Nothobranchius furzeri: one gene and its partners. The protein of the gene in region 1 purifies or fractionates together with the protein of each later gene. This does not show direct contact. Links are inferred from orthologs where the notes say so. Each region holds a gene or a part of one and is shown in the gene's direction. Other genes may lie near its edges.

The links. Proteins that work in one complex are often made in the same cells at the same time.
Region 2: the proteins of prpf8 (region 1) and sf3b2 purify together in Homo sapiens (affinity purification with mass spectrometry; 3 studies listed by BioGRID and IntAct, with this or other methods). This does not show direct contact. The link is inferred for Nothobranchius furzeri from reciprocal best matches to the Homo sapiens genes PRPF8 and SF3B2.
Region 3: the proteins of prpf8 (region 1) and crnkl1 fractionate together in Homo sapiens (co-fractionation; 3 studies listed by BioGRID, with this or other methods). This does not show direct contact. The link is inferred for Nothobranchius furzeri from reciprocal best matches to the Homo sapiens genes PRPF8 and CRNKL1.
Region 4: the proteins of prpf8 (region 1) and sf3b4 purify together in Homo sapiens (affinity purification with mass spectrometry; 4 studies listed by BioGRID and IntAct, with this or other methods). This does not show direct contact. The link is inferred for Nothobranchius furzeri from reciprocal best matches to the Homo sapiens genes PRPF8 and SF3B4.

Annotation. Positions count from the first base shown.
Region 1 is NC_091753.1:37,698,025-37,700,607, reverse strand, and holds part of prpf8 (pre-mRNA-processing-splicing factor 8), read left to right. Parts: intron 1-68; coding exon 69-198; intron 199-270; coding exon 271-417; intron 418-498; coding exon 499-659; intron 660-814; coding exon 815-1,006; intron 1,007-1,302; coding exon 1,303-1,540; intron 1,541-1,647; coding exon 1,648-1,776; intron 1,777-1,912; coding exon 1,913-2,026; intron 2,027-2,138; coding exon 2,139-2,312; intron 2,313-2,449; coding exon 2,450-2,583. UniProt on the Homo sapiens protein: Plays a role in pre-mRNA splicing as core component of precatalytic, catalytic and postcatalytic spliceosomal complexes, both of the predominant U2-type spliceosome and the minor U12-type spliceosome.
Region 2 is NC_091742.1:75,394,444-75,398,390, reverse strand, and holds the start of sf3b2 (splicing factor 3B subunit 2), read left to right. Parts: upstream 1-1,138; 5' UTR 1,139-1,181; coding exon 1,182-1,311; intron 1,312-1,705; coding exon 1,706-1,752; intron 1,753-1,873; coding exon 1,874-1,924; intron 1,925-2,251; coding exon 2,252-2,482; intron 2,483-2,978; coding exon 2,979-3,048; intron 3,049-3,141; coding exon 3,142-3,239; intron 3,240-3,947. UniProt on the Homo sapiens protein: Component of the 17S U2 SnRNP complex of the spliceosome, a large ribonucleoprotein complex that removes introns from transcribed pre-mRNAs.
Region 3 is NC_091742.1:17,433,293-17,437,571, reverse strand, and holds the start of crnkl1 (crooked neck-like protein 1), read left to right. Parts: upstream 1-1,470; 5' UTR 1,471-1,608; coding exon 1,609-1,656; intron 1,657-2,160; coding exon 2,161-2,313; intron 2,314-2,400; coding exon 2,401-2,492; intron 2,493-2,574; coding exon 2,575-2,733; intron 2,734-2,806; coding exon 2,807-2,973; intron 2,974-3,258; coding exon 3,259-3,437; intron 3,438-3,510; coding exon 3,511-3,681; intron 3,682-3,789; coding exon 3,790-3,981; intron 3,982-4,050; coding exon 4,051-4,110; intron 4,111-4,182; coding exon 4,183-4,263; intron 4,264-4,279. UniProt on the Homo sapiens protein: Involved in pre-mRNA splicing process. As a component of the minor spliceosome, involved in the splicing of U12-type introns in pre-mRNAs.
Region 4 is NC_091759.1:1,629,998-1,634,131, forward strand, and holds sf3b4 (splicing factor 3B subunit 4), read left to right. Parts: upstream 1-1,325; 5' UTR 1,326-1,560; coding exon 1,561-1,594; intron 1,595-2,030; coding exon 2,031-2,159; intron 2,160-2,244; coding exon 2,245-2,787; intron 2,788-2,881; coding exon 2,882-3,052; intron 3,053-3,277; coding exon 3,278-3,424; intron 3,425-3,519; coding exon 3,520-3,668; 3' UTR 3,669-3,847; downstream 3,848-4,134. UniProt on the Homo sapiens protein: Component of the 17S U2 SnRNP complex of the spliceosome, a large ribonucleoprotein complex that removes introns from transcribed pre-mRNAs.

The DNA of each region.
Region 1 (2,583 bases):
GTCGTTTTTTTGTTTTCTGTTATTTTGTACCGTTTTTGATTTTTTATTATTATTTCTCTGGCGATTAGGGAAAAGGCCAGTGGCTTTGAAGAGTCCATGAAATGGAAGAAGCTGACCAACGCTCAGAGGTCTGGTCTCAACCAGATCCCCAACCGTCGCTTCACTCTCTGGTGGTCGCCCACCATCAACCGGGCCAACGTTAGTATAAACATCAGCAGTTGGAACAATCATTTAAGAACCATTTACAGAATATTTTCCCTTCCTCTGCAGGTGTATGTGGGTTTCCAGGTACAGCTTGACTTGACGGGAATCTTCATGCACGGCAAGATTCCCACTCTGAAGATCTCCCTCATTCAGATCTTCAGGGCTCACCTGTGGCAGAAGATCCATGAGAGCATCGTCATGGATCTCTGTCAGGTAGGCTCTGATCCATAAACTCGCACGGAGAGAGTCGTGTGTTCCGATAGATTGGGTAAATGTTATGTTTCTGGTTGGCAGGTGTTTGACCAGGAGCTGGATGCTTTGGAGATTGAGACGGTGCAGAAGGAGACCATCCATCCCAGAAAGTCCTACAAGATGAACTCGTCCTGTGCAGACATCCTCCTCTTTGCGTCATACAAGTGGAACGTCTCCCGACCGTCTCTGCTCGCCGACTCAAAGTAGGACATTTAAAATGTTTGTCTCTGAGACTGTTGTTACAGAAAAGATGTTAAGGTTAGAAATGACACTAATACAGTTTGTTCACACGTTAGTTTACATGTGAAGATGGTTTTGTCTAATTTTGTGTGAAATAAAAGCATACCTCCTCTCTCAGGGATGTGATGGACAGCACCACCACACAGAAATACTGGATTGATATCCAGCTCCGATGGGGAGACTACGACTCTCATGACATTGAGCGCTACGCCAGAGCCAAATTCCTGGACTACACCACGGACAACATGAGTATCTACCCCTCTCCCACTGGAGTGCTCATCGCTATCGACCTGGCTTACAACCTTCACAGGTGTGGCTTGTTTTCATCAGTTAAGTTTGTATTATTAGGGTCATTATGAAGTGACTATTGCATTTATTTCCACCATAACTTCACATGATGTAGTTAAATGACAGATGAACTGAAGTTCAAATCTTAAAAGGCTGCCGGAAGTGTTTCCTGGATTTTTACATCTGCTTGTAAATGCTCCTCAGTCGCCCTTGAAGTCTCCACACAAGCTTCCTAAATTCCTGTCCATGCTCCATCAGCCAGTTGATTTATTTGGAGTTCTGAACTGTATGTTTTTGGTTTTATTCGTTTTTCTGTAGCGCGTATGGTAACTGGTTTCCAGGAAGCAAGCCTCTGATCCAGCAGGCCATGGCCAAGATCATGAAGGCCAACCCTGCTCTGTATGTGCTCCGAGAGCGCATCCGCAAAGGTCTGCAGCTCTACTCCTCAGAGCCCACGGAGCCTTACCTGTCCTCGCAGAACTACGGCGAGCTCTTCTCCAACCAGATCATCTGGTTTGTGGATGACACCAATGTCTACAGAGTCACCATTCACAAGGTGAGCGTTGGTTTTTCAGGTGGGCGTCAAAATGGTGCTTCTGCTCAGAAACGCGCAGAAGGAAAAAATCGCTATCATCATATCAAATTTATGCTTCGTGTGCTCAGACCTTTGAGGGAAACTTGACCACAAAACCCATCAATGGAGCCATTTTCATCTTCAACCCCAGAACTGGACAACTCTTCCTCAAGATCATTCACACGTCTGTGTGGGCTGGACAGAAACGTCTGGGACAGGTATGAAAATGTCCTGCTCTGCTCTTTAAAATTTGCTTCTGTTTATATTTGTCTGGTAAAATTATTCTTTACAAGAAACTTAGATTTTAGTGGTATTCTGTTTTAGTTGAACATGTTTAACCTGTTATTTATGTAGCTGGCCAAATGGAAAACGGCTGAAGAAGTTGCTGCCCTGATTCGCTCCCTCCCTGTGGAGGAGCAGCCCAAGCAGATCATCGTAACCAGGAAGGGCATGCTGGACCCTCTGGAGGTGAGAGGATGTGATGGTTACTGCTGCTTCAACATTTCTAAACTTTACAGGATCATCTTAAAAATCGAATCTACTCTAAAATGCTTCTTAAAGTTATTTGATTTCTGTTTAGGTCCACTTGCTTGACTTCCCCAACATCGTGATCAAAGGCTCAGAGCTGCAGCTGCCTTTCCAGGCCTGTCTGAAGGTGGAGAAGTTTGGAGACCTGATCTTGAAGGCGACAGAACCACAGATGGTCCTGTTTAATCTCTATGATGATTGGCTGAAGACCATCTCGTCCTACACCGTGAGATTCTCTTTCTAATGGAGCACAGAGCAGATTTAAATTGGGACTGAAGCTGATCAAACACTTTTTTGAGTTGTAGTTACTTTTGGTAACATCCACTCACTTCCCCTGTAAATAGTTGTTGTCTCTGCTTGCAGGCCTTCTCCCGTCTCATCCTGATCCTCAGAGCCCTCCACGTCAATAATGACCGCGCCAAGGTCATTCTGAAGCCTGATAAGACCACCATCACTGAGCCCCATCACATCTGGCCCACGCTGACTGATGAAGAGTG
Region 2 (3,947 bases), on another chromosome or scaffold:
ATTTGAATTGAAGTACAAAAATGTGCATTTCAGGGCGTAAGGCAAAGCAGATTAGAAAATAGATTTTATAGCCTTGTTCACTTGTATTCGTTTTTTTCTATGCTCCGGGGACCTATGAGCTGACCGAAAGGGGAGGAGAGGCAGTTTGCTCACCAGCACTTGGGCACCAGGTTCGTGTCTTCTTGACAAAGTATTGCTCAAGTGCATGCACAATACGACAATTAAAACTCCACATCTAATGCGCACAGCTGAGATTTAAGCCAGCAACCTTCTTGGTGCAAGATGACCATTAAGAAAAAAAGCTGTACTTTGATTACATTTTACTTTTAAATTTTGTAATTCGTGAACCAAATTTCAAAAATGAAACTAAAAAGTTTCGCTTTTGTTAATAAATTCTCTTGTGCCAACACTGACATCCCGTGGCCACATGAACCAACTTCCAGCACACGTTTTTTAGTTGGGCATGGGTTTTAAATGACGTACACCCATCTGGGGAATTCTTACGACAGAGATGTGGTTTCGAAACAAATAAGTGTGTATGGTGTGATGATAAAGAAACCTCTGTTCATTTATTATTTTACTGCATTTTCTCTGAAGCTCTCTGGAATGATATCCATGACTGGCTATACACAAAGATACCTATTGAACCCTTTTCTGAGAACGATGTCATTTACGGTGCCATATTAGATAACACTGAATGGGACTTTCTGGTAAATAACATAATCGTTGTAGCTAAATTTTACATTCACAAATGTAGATATGGAAATGTGAAGCCAGATTCTATGCATTTCATAACGAGTGTCTTTCTTTCTCCAAAGCCCTTAAGTTTATGAAAAGTAAACATGCAATGAAACTCCTTAATCTTTTTGAAAAGTATGATTTGAAAACAAAGCCCTAGCTCTTTGTCTCTTTTTTATTTATTTATTTTTTTCTGTTTGTTCGTTTCGTTCACAAATATTCTTGCGTTCTATGCAAAGTCTCTTTTGTTATTTTTTGCACCTGATCCCGGGTAATGTAAAACAAAGGAATTTATGCCATGTTAATTGTAAATGAAAAAGTTCAATTTAAAAGAATTTTTTTTTTAACGTTGTGGCACGTTTCCCACAATGCATTGGTCCAATCTTCTTCTCACTCTCGCGTTGTTTCCGCTGCCGCCGTTGTTCCATTGAGAGAAGCTCAACATGGCATCCGACGGAGTAACGGGTAGCGATTCTCTTTCGCCTGATTTAGGAGGTGCAATCGCAGCTTTAAACACATGGAGCAATCCGGAGCTTCAAGCCAAGCTGGCTGACCTGGGCGCACCAAATATGGGTAAGAAATACTTGGAGGGCACTCATCGAACAATGAATTTAGCTACCAGGTATTAGCCTTCCGTTAACTTTAGCTAGCAGTTTGGTAACGCATTATTAAAGTAGGCCAACTACAGACTCTACGTGTGTTTACATTCACTAGAGCACAACATAGTGAATCTACCTGCGTGATTTGTGACGTTTAAAGCAACAGCTAAACGTTTGATTGGTTTGGGTCTTCTATTTAAACGTATTTATCTTACGTTTAGCTTATTTTGCTAACTTTGAGCGTAAGTCTTTGCATTTACGCAGTGTAGCGTTCTGTTTGTATCTTATTGAATCAGTAAAACTTCGAATTTGTCTTGCGCTCCTGGAATCACTTCCTTGTTGTCTAACAGTTATTTTCTCTCATCCAGGTCCCAGAGAGGAGCTGATTGACAGACTGAAGGGCTACATGATGCAGGTAAACGCTTTAGAAATGTGATTCTGGTTTTTCCACTTCCTCATCACGATTTGTTTCCTAAAGAAACTTGTTTTAGTACTAATTTATCTACTGGATCTGCCCGTTTGTTTTTGTCCTACAGACAGGAATTATCCTCAGCAAACCAAATGAAGACAACCCAATGGGCGTCCAGGTAAGGACTGATCAGATTGTTGTGACGTCACTGTTTAATGTACTGATACACTTTTCTGTTGGTCTTAGAGTTTTTTTTCATAAATGTCTTCTTGTGTTATCACAATATTTCTGGCAACCATCAAAAAACGCAGTAAATAAAACCAAGAGTCGCCATGGTGATCACTGCACTGTATAGATTTTAACAACACAGGTGGATGAGAGACTAGATTTAATTGTTTAACCACATTATCACAAAACAAACAAATGAAACTTGTGAAAACTGAGGTTCAGTTAAGCTCATGGCTCAGTGGGTGTTTGCCTTTAATTTACTTCCTTCTTCCTCCAGATGCCAGGGTTACCTTCTCTTCCCCCATTACCCATGCCTCCAATGCCCCCTGGCATCGGAATGCTCCAGCCTATGGGCATGATGCCCGCTGGAGGTCCTCCTCCTCCTGGTTTACCCTTAGGAATGGAGCACGGACCCCTGCTGCCTCCAGCGCTGACGCAGGACGACCAGCTGAAGATGGCTCAGCACAGGGCGGCCATGGTTCTCCAACAGGAGGAACGAGCCAAACAGGTGAAGCCCTCAGACCATCATGTTCCGTTGTTGGTTTAGAACACTACACGCTAAGAATATTATGCATTTGGGAGATTGTGGGACGCTGAAACAACAAAATATAAATCAGAAATAGTTTTTTAATTGGGTTAGTTGAGGCAAAATCCTGTTGTGAATTGTGGATTTTTGCTCATTCTGGTTACAACAAGAGGTGAACAGGACCTTCTAGAGCAGCAGAAAAGGCAAAGATGTTCCGTTTAATATTTAGGGGAGCTGAAGGCCCCGTTTGCTCTAACAGAATGAACCTTTCACTTTGCAAAGTGATGATTTTAAGAGCCTTTTCCCCACCTAGTGGCCAAGTTAGATATACATCTGCTTCTTGTCTAATTGCAGGTAATCGGCTGAATAGAAGCCAACAATCCAGAGCAGAGCTTTAACTAAACTCAGGGGTTTATCTTTAATCTGCACTTCCTACATGTTCACCTTGTATTTATGTCTCCCCGTCTGCGTGTGCCAGGCTGCTGTGCTGCTGGAACAGGAGCGTCAGCAGGAGATGGCCAAGCTGCAGCCCAGGTCTTTGCCCATTGGTCAGTCTAATGTGTTATTTCAAATAAAAACACATAACTTCATGTAAGTCCAGTTTCTACAGCAATGACCACTTTTTCAAAACTCTTTTTCAGTTTCTATCTTGGATCCTCGTGGGCCGCTTCCTCCTGGTGTCACGTTGTTGCCCTCCCAGAAACAGAGGGTGCCCCCCCCTCCAGGAGAAGACAAAGAGGTAAACAGACTGAAACGGAGTTTCTCCTGTTGCACATGGAAGTCCTACGCTCTTAAACACGAGATTTTATCGTCATGCTGCTTTTAGGGATGGGTACCGAATTCGGTACTTTTTAAGGTACCGACCAAATTCCATAGTACCGACCGAGCACCGATTCACTTAATTTGAAACGGTGTCTCGTTTCGGTACCCGTCCTTCACAACGAGAACTTGCCTAGACAGCTGCGCATGCGCAAGAGCGTTAAGTCATCGGTCGCTGCGAGCCAGTTGTAAACAGAGCAGCATGGTAGAACGAACGAACGCTTAAGCTTGGGTCCACTTCACTAAATGCGACGGGTGACTGGGTGAAGATGAAACCAGCGACAACGATCTAAGTGTGAGGCATCATCGTTTTAATCTGCTCCAGCAGTTAAATAAACTGTTTAAGATAACGTTAGCTTGATATGTTAGCTTCCATTGCCACCGTTGTTATCAGCTAATGGTGCGTTCGCTTTCTCCTCAGAAATTCTAACTTCCCAGTAGGAAAAATCAATTGAAAAAGGACGGTAAAAGGAATGAAGATACACAGTAAATTTAGTTCACAGTAAAGATGTTTGCTTCAGTTTAATCATCAGCTTATAAAACTACAAGGACGACGTTAAAATACAAACAGTTGTATGTTATTTATCGTGATATTTATCAAATATGGTTATATATTGAGAAAAATATA
Region 3 (4,279 bases), on another chromosome or scaffold:
ACATAGTTTGACAGATAGCGCCTTCGTAATTTTTTTCTGAAACCCTTTTTTATAAAATTAAGCATTATTGGCAGTGGGGGAAAACGTTATGGACGCAAATTTTTTATATAATTTTTAATGGGCTACATGCAAGCCTTTTGGCCAAAATAAACGTAACAATAGGCTATTTATTTGACCGTTTATGACTCCTCATCTAATAAACAGCAAACTCACGACGGCAATGTGGTAGCCCGGAGGTATTCTACAAACACAAGAACAGTGCTAATTCCTATATGTATTGTTTTCACATTGGTTATGACAGCCTCTAGGTGTAAATGTCATTTTTACTAATTGCTATTTATCTCTGTCTCACTAGTGAGAGGCAGCTGATGTCCTATGCCATGGAACTGCTCATATACTCGGAGAAAATCAGAAAAGCTCTGGACTCATCTGAATTTTTCAAGAGGTTGTAGCAATGTGTGGACATTTATTATTATTATTATTTTTTGGAAGGTATTTGTAAGGCCAATAAAAGCTGTTGCTGGTTGTTTCATTTGTCAGAACTTTTTTTTCTAAAGCCAAACTTTTCTGCTTTTGTGTTTACAGTATATTCTTTACAGATTAGTGTATGGTCAATATCAGTTTACTAGTCTTGTGAATTGTATACTTAATGCAAAATATTTTAGTAATTTCTAAATCAATACATTTTGTGTGAAAGGGCCAGCAATTATTCCTGTTAACAGAATATATGAAATGCATATATACACATGTAAATATGCCTAAAAATTACACAGCAGCAGCTTTTCACTGTAAAGAAGCAATAAAAAAATCACAGATAGTAACATAAATATTAACTACTCACTCGTATGAACTTAGACCTACTGTTAGTGCCTGTAATAACAAATGGTTGAAAGTTAAATGTTGCTGTAGGAGGCGTGCTCCCAAAAATGGGGGTCAGTGGGCTTAAGGGGTTAATTAAAACGATTACCACTAATTACTTTTTCTGATATTTTATTTTATTGCATTTAAAATAAACACTTGCACATACATTACTCACCTGCTAACGTCAGTAAGCATAGGTATGTTGTGCCTATTGTACGGCAACTGATTATTTGTTGGTGGTATCTGTGTTTTATAATCTCACTGGGGATGGCCATGAAGTGTGTATACAAGAAATAAAAATAATCTCACTGGGGATGGCCAAAAAAATCCATACATTCATATTTAAACCTGGAGTCCTGTCTGTTTAATTACATTATTACTATTTCTATATTTATTTTCTTTCAATTGTGTTGTTCGCTGGGAGGGCCGCCGTTATTGAGCTCGGGGGTATCTCAACAGGGGGGCGTGTTTTGTCGGGGTGGGTGGGGGGTGGGGGGTGTTTGGCCGGGGCTACGTCTGCAGCTAGGAGGGTTTCAGTCACGTGGTACAAAAAATTGAGTTTTTTACTCTCTCCCTTTGTGTAACTTCCGTTGCTATACCAACGTACCGGAAGTCGCAGAGCATTGTGGGTACTGTCATGGTGGCTGGAGCAGCAAACGGAACGTTTATGTGGCTTAAGCTTTGAAACAGTCGTTTCTTTGGGACCTTTTATTTTACAGAGAACGTCTGGTCCGACACACCGGCAGCATGGCCTCCACGGCGGCAGGGAAACAGCGGATACCGAAGGTGGCGAAGGTAAGCGGACCGGAGCGCGGAGCTAAGAGCGGCTAAGCTAATGCTAACGCATTACTGTTTAGCTGTAGTGACCCGTGAGTTCTGTTCTGATGGCCCGGGTCCAGAGACACGAGCTCCTGTCCTCCACCGGGAGCTCAGAGGCTGCTCCTGGATGTGTGGGAGCTTTGGTTCCCCCAGATGTTCCGGTCACCTGGGATCTCAGCATCACTGCTAAGGTCCAGTAGTTCTGCCATGCTGGACCTGAAGTGCCATTTATCAGCACAACCCTAGAATGTTTCAGCTCACTGGTTCTGGTCCGGCCCGGCTCATCGATCATAACCAGAAAAACAAAACAAAAAAAAAATTGTAAATTCAAAAACGATCAAATGTTCTGGTAAAACGCAGAAAGACTTTTTGGCCAATTCTGGTTTTAAAGAGTGTAAAATCGCACCGGACCCTGGTTCTGGTTCTAGGACAGGAGTGGTACCGAGGAGTGGTCCTGAAGCTTATTGTGTTGCTTTCCAGGTGAAGAACAAAGCTCCTGCTGAGGTCCAGATCACAGCTGAGCAGCTGCTGAGAGAGGCCAAGGAGAGGGAGCTGGAGCTTCTGCCTCCGCCACCCAAACAGAAGATCACCGATAAGGAGGAGCTGAACGACTACAAGCTGAGGAAGAGGAAGGTGATTTAGAGAGCGTAGCCTCCATGGGTGGGTTAGTCTAACAGGTAAACAACACGTCTGATGGGTACTGGTCTAACTGTGTTTCAGGCTTTTGAAGACAACATCAGGAAGAACCGGACCATCATCAGTAACTGGATTAAGTACGCTCAGTGGGAGGAAAGTCTGAAGGAGATCCAGAGGTATTTAGGTCATCACCACAGCTGGAACTAGAGGTTTAAGGTAACCTGGTTAGTTGTTTAAACACTGTTCATCTGGGTTCAGGGCCCGGTCCATTTATGAAAGAGCGCTGGACGTCGATCACCGCAATGTCACTTTGTGGCTGAAGTACGCCGAAATGGAGATGAAGAGCCGCCAGGTGAATCATGCTCGTAACATCTGGGACAGAGCTATCACCATCCTTCCACGGGTCAACCAGTTCTGGTAGGACTCTATAGCTTGGGGTTCTGTCAGAGCCTTCACGTGTGTGCTGGAACGTTTTTGATGTTCTGCTCAGGTACAAGTACACCTACATGGAGGAGATGCTGGGGAACGTGGCTGGCTGCAGGCAGGTGTTTGAACGCTGGATGGAGTGGGAACCCGAAGAACAGGCCTGGCACTCCTACATCAACTTTGAGCTGCGCTACAAGGAGGTGGACAAAGCCCGGACCATCTACGAGCACTATATCCTTTCTACTGGAGCCCAGTAGAACCTAGAATGGTGGGGTTAGAACACACGTTCCATAAAAACAACCGGAACAGGTCCAGTCAGACTCGAATTAAAACACCAAAGATCTGTGACCCGGTTCAGCTACAGATTCAGACCCATAATGCCTTAAACCTGATCCTACAGAGTACTGGAGAACATCTCTGTTCCTTCTGACCCGGTTTTTAACTAACCCTGGTTCTGGTGGTTGATGGGCTGCGCGTGGTTTTGAACAGACAGGAAGTTCTTTAACTCGTCTTCACTCGTCCTTGTTCACCCGGAGGTGAAGAACTGGATCAAATACGCTCGCTTCGAGGAGAAGCACGGATATGTGGCTCACAGCAGGAAGGTGTACGAGCGGGCTGTGGAGTTCTTCGGGGAGGAACACGTGGAGGAGAACCTGTTTGTGGCCTTTGCCAAGTTTGAGGAGACACAGAAGGAGGTGGGTGCTATCAGAACTTTGTTTATGGGTTTGTTTGGGTGGATTCTCTTACTTCTGTTCTTGTTCTGGACAGTTTGAGCGTGTTCGAGTCATCTACAAGTACGCACTGGACAGAATCCCCAAACATCAGGCCCAGGAGCTCTTCAAGAACTACACCATGTTTGAAAAGAAGTTTGGAGACCGGAGAGGAATCGAAGATGTGATCGTCAGCAAACGGAGGTTCCAGTACGAAGAGGAAGTGAAGGTACTTCACCTGTCTGGAGGTCAGAGATGAAGTCTGGTTCTGGGCTCAGGTGTGCAGAGGCAGGTGTTCTGCTGTGTGGCCCAAACTCAGCAACTTCTCGTCCTTCAGGCTAACCCACACAACTACGACGCCTGGTTTGATTACCTGCGGCTGGTGGAGAGCGATGCGGACGCCGACACGGTGAGAGAGGTTTACGAACGAGCCATTGCCAATGTGCCCCCCCTGCAGGAGAAGAGACACTGGAGGCGCTACATCTACCTGTGGATCAACTACGCTCTGTACGAGGAGCTGGAGACCAAGGTCAGTGGTCCTGCAGCGTTCCTGCAGAGGGCGCTGACGGACCGGTGTAACGGTGACATGTGTCGGCAGGACCCGGAGAGGACGAGGCAGGTTTACCAGGCTTGTCTGGAGCTGATCCCTCACAAGAAGGTCTTTAGAACTTCACCATGATGTAACCCCCCACCACCACCAGGCTGTGACGTGCTTTCTCTTCTCTTTCAGTTCACATTTGCTAAGATGTGGCTGCTTCATGCTCAGTTTGAAATCCGACAAAAGAATCTTCAGAACTCCAGAAAGATCATGGTGAGCTTTGGCGCTG
Region 4 (4,134 bases), on another chromosome or scaffold:
ACAACGTTTCAAGCGAAAAAAAACTGGTTTACTGCTAAAAAATATGAAATAAAACAACAAAATTATCAGGCTGAAGTATATAAAAGGCTCAATAATATGCATTATGGTTTCGTCCATCATGAACAGCCCCCCTCCTTCCACTCTCACTGAGACTTCTTTGCTTCGTTCAAAAGAGCCAGTCTTTTGAGCGGCCCTTTGAAGACGTAATTATTTTTATTTTTATGAGCTTTACTATCTATTTGTGGTATAACGGTTTGTGACTAAATGCATTATGGGATACTTTTCTGGTCCAAGTCCAAAGATGGATACTTTATTGTAATGGGTGAAGGACGAACACATCCAGGAACTTTGAGCGTACTTGCCATGATGCGTACTTGGTATTGGAACAGTACACGGGCTAACGCCAATGACATTTCACAATTAATATAGTACACACGTTTAAACAAGTACTCATATTGCAAAACAGCCTATAACTTGTTTTTTTTAATTAGTCTAAACCTTTCTCTTTCTGTGGTCTTTGGTGATTGCCAAGCAACACTTCCTAACCAGGAAGCAACTTGGTTCGCTCCCTGCTAGCCAAACTATCTCTAAGTATCATGACAGTGCTATACTTTCTCATATTTATGCCATAATGTCAAATTATTTCTTTATTATGTGACAAATATTATGAAGGTTAAAAGAAGGCGATTGTGTTTATGAACACCGGGTTTTAGTGAATCAGCTTGTGAAATATGTGTTGCATTATTTGGTTTGTGTTGTGAAATTCTGTTCTCGTTTTAGGGGCCAAAAAAAGAAAATGTAATAAGTGTATTTGAGCAGGTTTAATGAGTGAGCCTGGAGGTCTTTAATTTTGTTTATTTTTAAGGTTTACTTTTTAAAATAAAGTTCAGTAGATGTATTTTTCTTCACAAGCCATTAATTATTCTCAGCTCTTTCAGTTATTTTAATGACTATTATCTATGAAGGCTCCCTTACTGATGCTTATTTTAAATTCATTTTATAAACAGCTTTGGCAACAGTTTTATTTTTTGTCTTTGGTGCATGATGTTAGTTTCTATTTTTAATGTGTGTTTTATATATATATATATATATATATATAAAAAATAGTTACTTTCTAAAATTTTTGAGACCCTAAATGTGTGTATTTTCTATGAACACTTTGTATTCCATGTTTATACCTTTAGTATATTTATATGTATATGAAATAAATCAAATAATAAAAATAATTGTGGCTTTGTTTTGAATTTGTTGTTAATGGTTAAGTGCCATACAACTAAAAATATCCCAGAAAAAACTATCAAATCAATTCAAATGAAACTTAGTGATTTTGATTGCCTTTCAAGTTTTTAATTAACATTCATTTATTTGCTGTCTTTTTTTGTTTAGGAATGTCTGGGTCTTTAGTGTAATCAGAGTATAACAATTTTTTATGTAACTACAAAAACAGAAGAATTAGTTTATTTTTACTTTAATTTATTTGATCTTATTTTATTTTGTTGGGTTTTACCGGAAGAGGCGGGCCTTCCCTTCACAACGCTCTCCCAGCGTTGGTCATTCAACATGGCAGCGGGACCAATTTCAGAAAGAAACCAAGGTAATTTCATTGTTTAAATGGTTTAACGCTTACACCTTCATTATTTAGCGATATCTCTTGATTTATAACAATTGAAATTCTTATCCGCTCTTTCCCACCAATGTTAGCTGTCTAATTAGCCCGTGTTTTGGGGGTAAATGCGTACTCAAACACATGGAAGTCTCCGGTCTCGTTAGCCTAGCTTCTAGCTAAGTTAGCCGTTTTTTGTTTATTTTAATTGTATTACTTAATGCTTGTATTACTTAATGCTTGACTTCACGATAGCATACGGGAGTTTTATGTTGTTTATTTGAAATGCAGAGATTATTCCAAGTCAGGACTAGAACCACTAAACAACTAAAGTTAGCCTTAAAAACTCGCGACATTAGCATGTAGCAATGCTCACCTATCAATGTAAACACCGTTTTCCTTAATAGGTATTTTCTTGTGTTTCCAGATGCCACCGTGTATGTCGGTGGTTTGGATGAGAAGGTGTCAGAGCCGTTGCTATGGGAGCTTTTTCTGCAGGCTGGCCCTGTTGTCAACACACACATGCCCAAAGATCGGGTCACAGGTCAACATCAAGGTGAGAATCAGGCTATTCAAGATGGGATGAAAGTCCTAAAATTCACTGTAACAATGTACATAACAAATGAAACTGTTCCACTCAGGTTATGGATTTGTGGAGTTCCTCAGTGAGGAAGATGCTGACTATGCCATTAAAATCATGAACATGATTAAGCTCTACGGCAAACCGATTCGCGTGAATAAGGCCTCCGCCCACAACAAAAACCTGGATGTTGGCGCTAATATCTTCATCGGGAACTTGGACCCGGAGATCGATGAAAAACTGCTCTACGACACGTTCAGTGCTTTTGGCGTTATTCTACAAACTCCAAAGATCATGCGAGACCCAGACACCGGCAACTCCAAGGGTTACGCCTTCATCAACTTTGCCAGCTTTGATGCGTCCGACGCCGCCATCGAGGCCATGAATGGCCAGTACCTGTGCAACCGGCCCATCACTGTGTCGTACGCGTTCAAGAAAGATTCTAAAGGAGAACGCCATGGCTCAGCGGCAGAGCGACTGCTAGCTGCACAAAACCCTCTCTCGCAGGCAGACAGGCCACATCAGCTGTTTGCAGATGCTCCGCCCCCACCATCTGCACAGACGCCACTCCTAACCGCAATGGGCCCCGGGATTCCTCTTCATGGTATGACTGCTCTAATCTTAACTGCCGATAAAGAAGTACCTTTCTACATTTATTGGGTTAATTATATAATAGTTTTGTTTTTTTTTTTGCGCAGGTTTGCCGCCTCCTGGTGCCTTTCCTCACGTTCCTCCCCCTGGATCAATGCCTCCAACGATGCCCCCTTCTATGGGCATGCCTCCATCAGCAGGGACACCAGGTCCTCCATCTTCTCTTGGTGGACCTCCAGCTGTTCCTCCACCTTTCGCACCGGCCAGCATGCCTCCAGGTATAACTCGGTTGCAGAAAAGCCTGAAAATTTAAGTCTCTGCTCCCCATTTTAGCTTTAAGAAGTCCAATAACGATTAATAAAATTGTGCAGGATCAACCTCAGTCATCTCCTTCAAATGTGAAGAAATAAAAACAATAATGTTTCAATTTAAATGTCAGGTTATTAAAATGCAGCTGTTAGCCCTGAATGAGTTATTTTTATTTGTTTGATCCGGGCCCACAGGTATGCCTCAGATGCCCATGCCGCCTGCTCCTCCTGGCATGGTGCCTCCACCTGCTCCACCAGGATCGGCTCGAGCTCCACCGCCCCCCAGCATGCCCCCACCTCCTATGGGCATGCCTCCCAGAGCACCGTATGGACCCCCCATGGGTGAGCACTGTGGCATTTTCTCAAAAATACAATTTTTTTTAAATGAAAGTTGTTTTTAACCTGTTATTTCTTTTTTTTTTTTTTTTTTTCCCAAGCCCACCCTGTGCCTCCAGGTATGAGAGGACCTCCCCCCATGCCTCCTCCCGGCTATGGTGCCGTTCCTCCTCGTCCACCTCCTTTTGGTTTCCAGAGAGCACCTCCAATGCCACCAAGACCTCCCGGTGCCCCTCCTCGGGTCCCTTGAGAGCACCAAGAGCTCCGTGATCCACGTCAGACCACAGGAACATTCAGCTTGTTGTTTTTTTAAATACATGTTTCGATCTACTGGATTTTGTTATCTTGGAAGTAATTTAACCAACTGTTTTTGATTTATGCTCATTGTACAGATAAACAGAAAATTGGCAAATAAACATTTTAGTACAACTTTTGGATATTTTTGCGTTTAATTATTACTAATAAACTTGTAATGTACCAGAAATTAGTTTATGAGTAAAAGCTGCATAATAAGCAGGTGAGAGAGTAATATGTTCTAATTTATGTCCAAAAGGTATTTATAACTTGAGGCAGGGGCCCCAGTAGGTCATATACTCTCAGGTATTATGGTTTTATTTAAAAAGTAAAGTGATATTCCCTACTGTTGGGATTAAAATCCAAAAATATTTTTAAAAGAATTTTTTTAAAATGTTTTCTTTGGACATTTATTGCTCTAC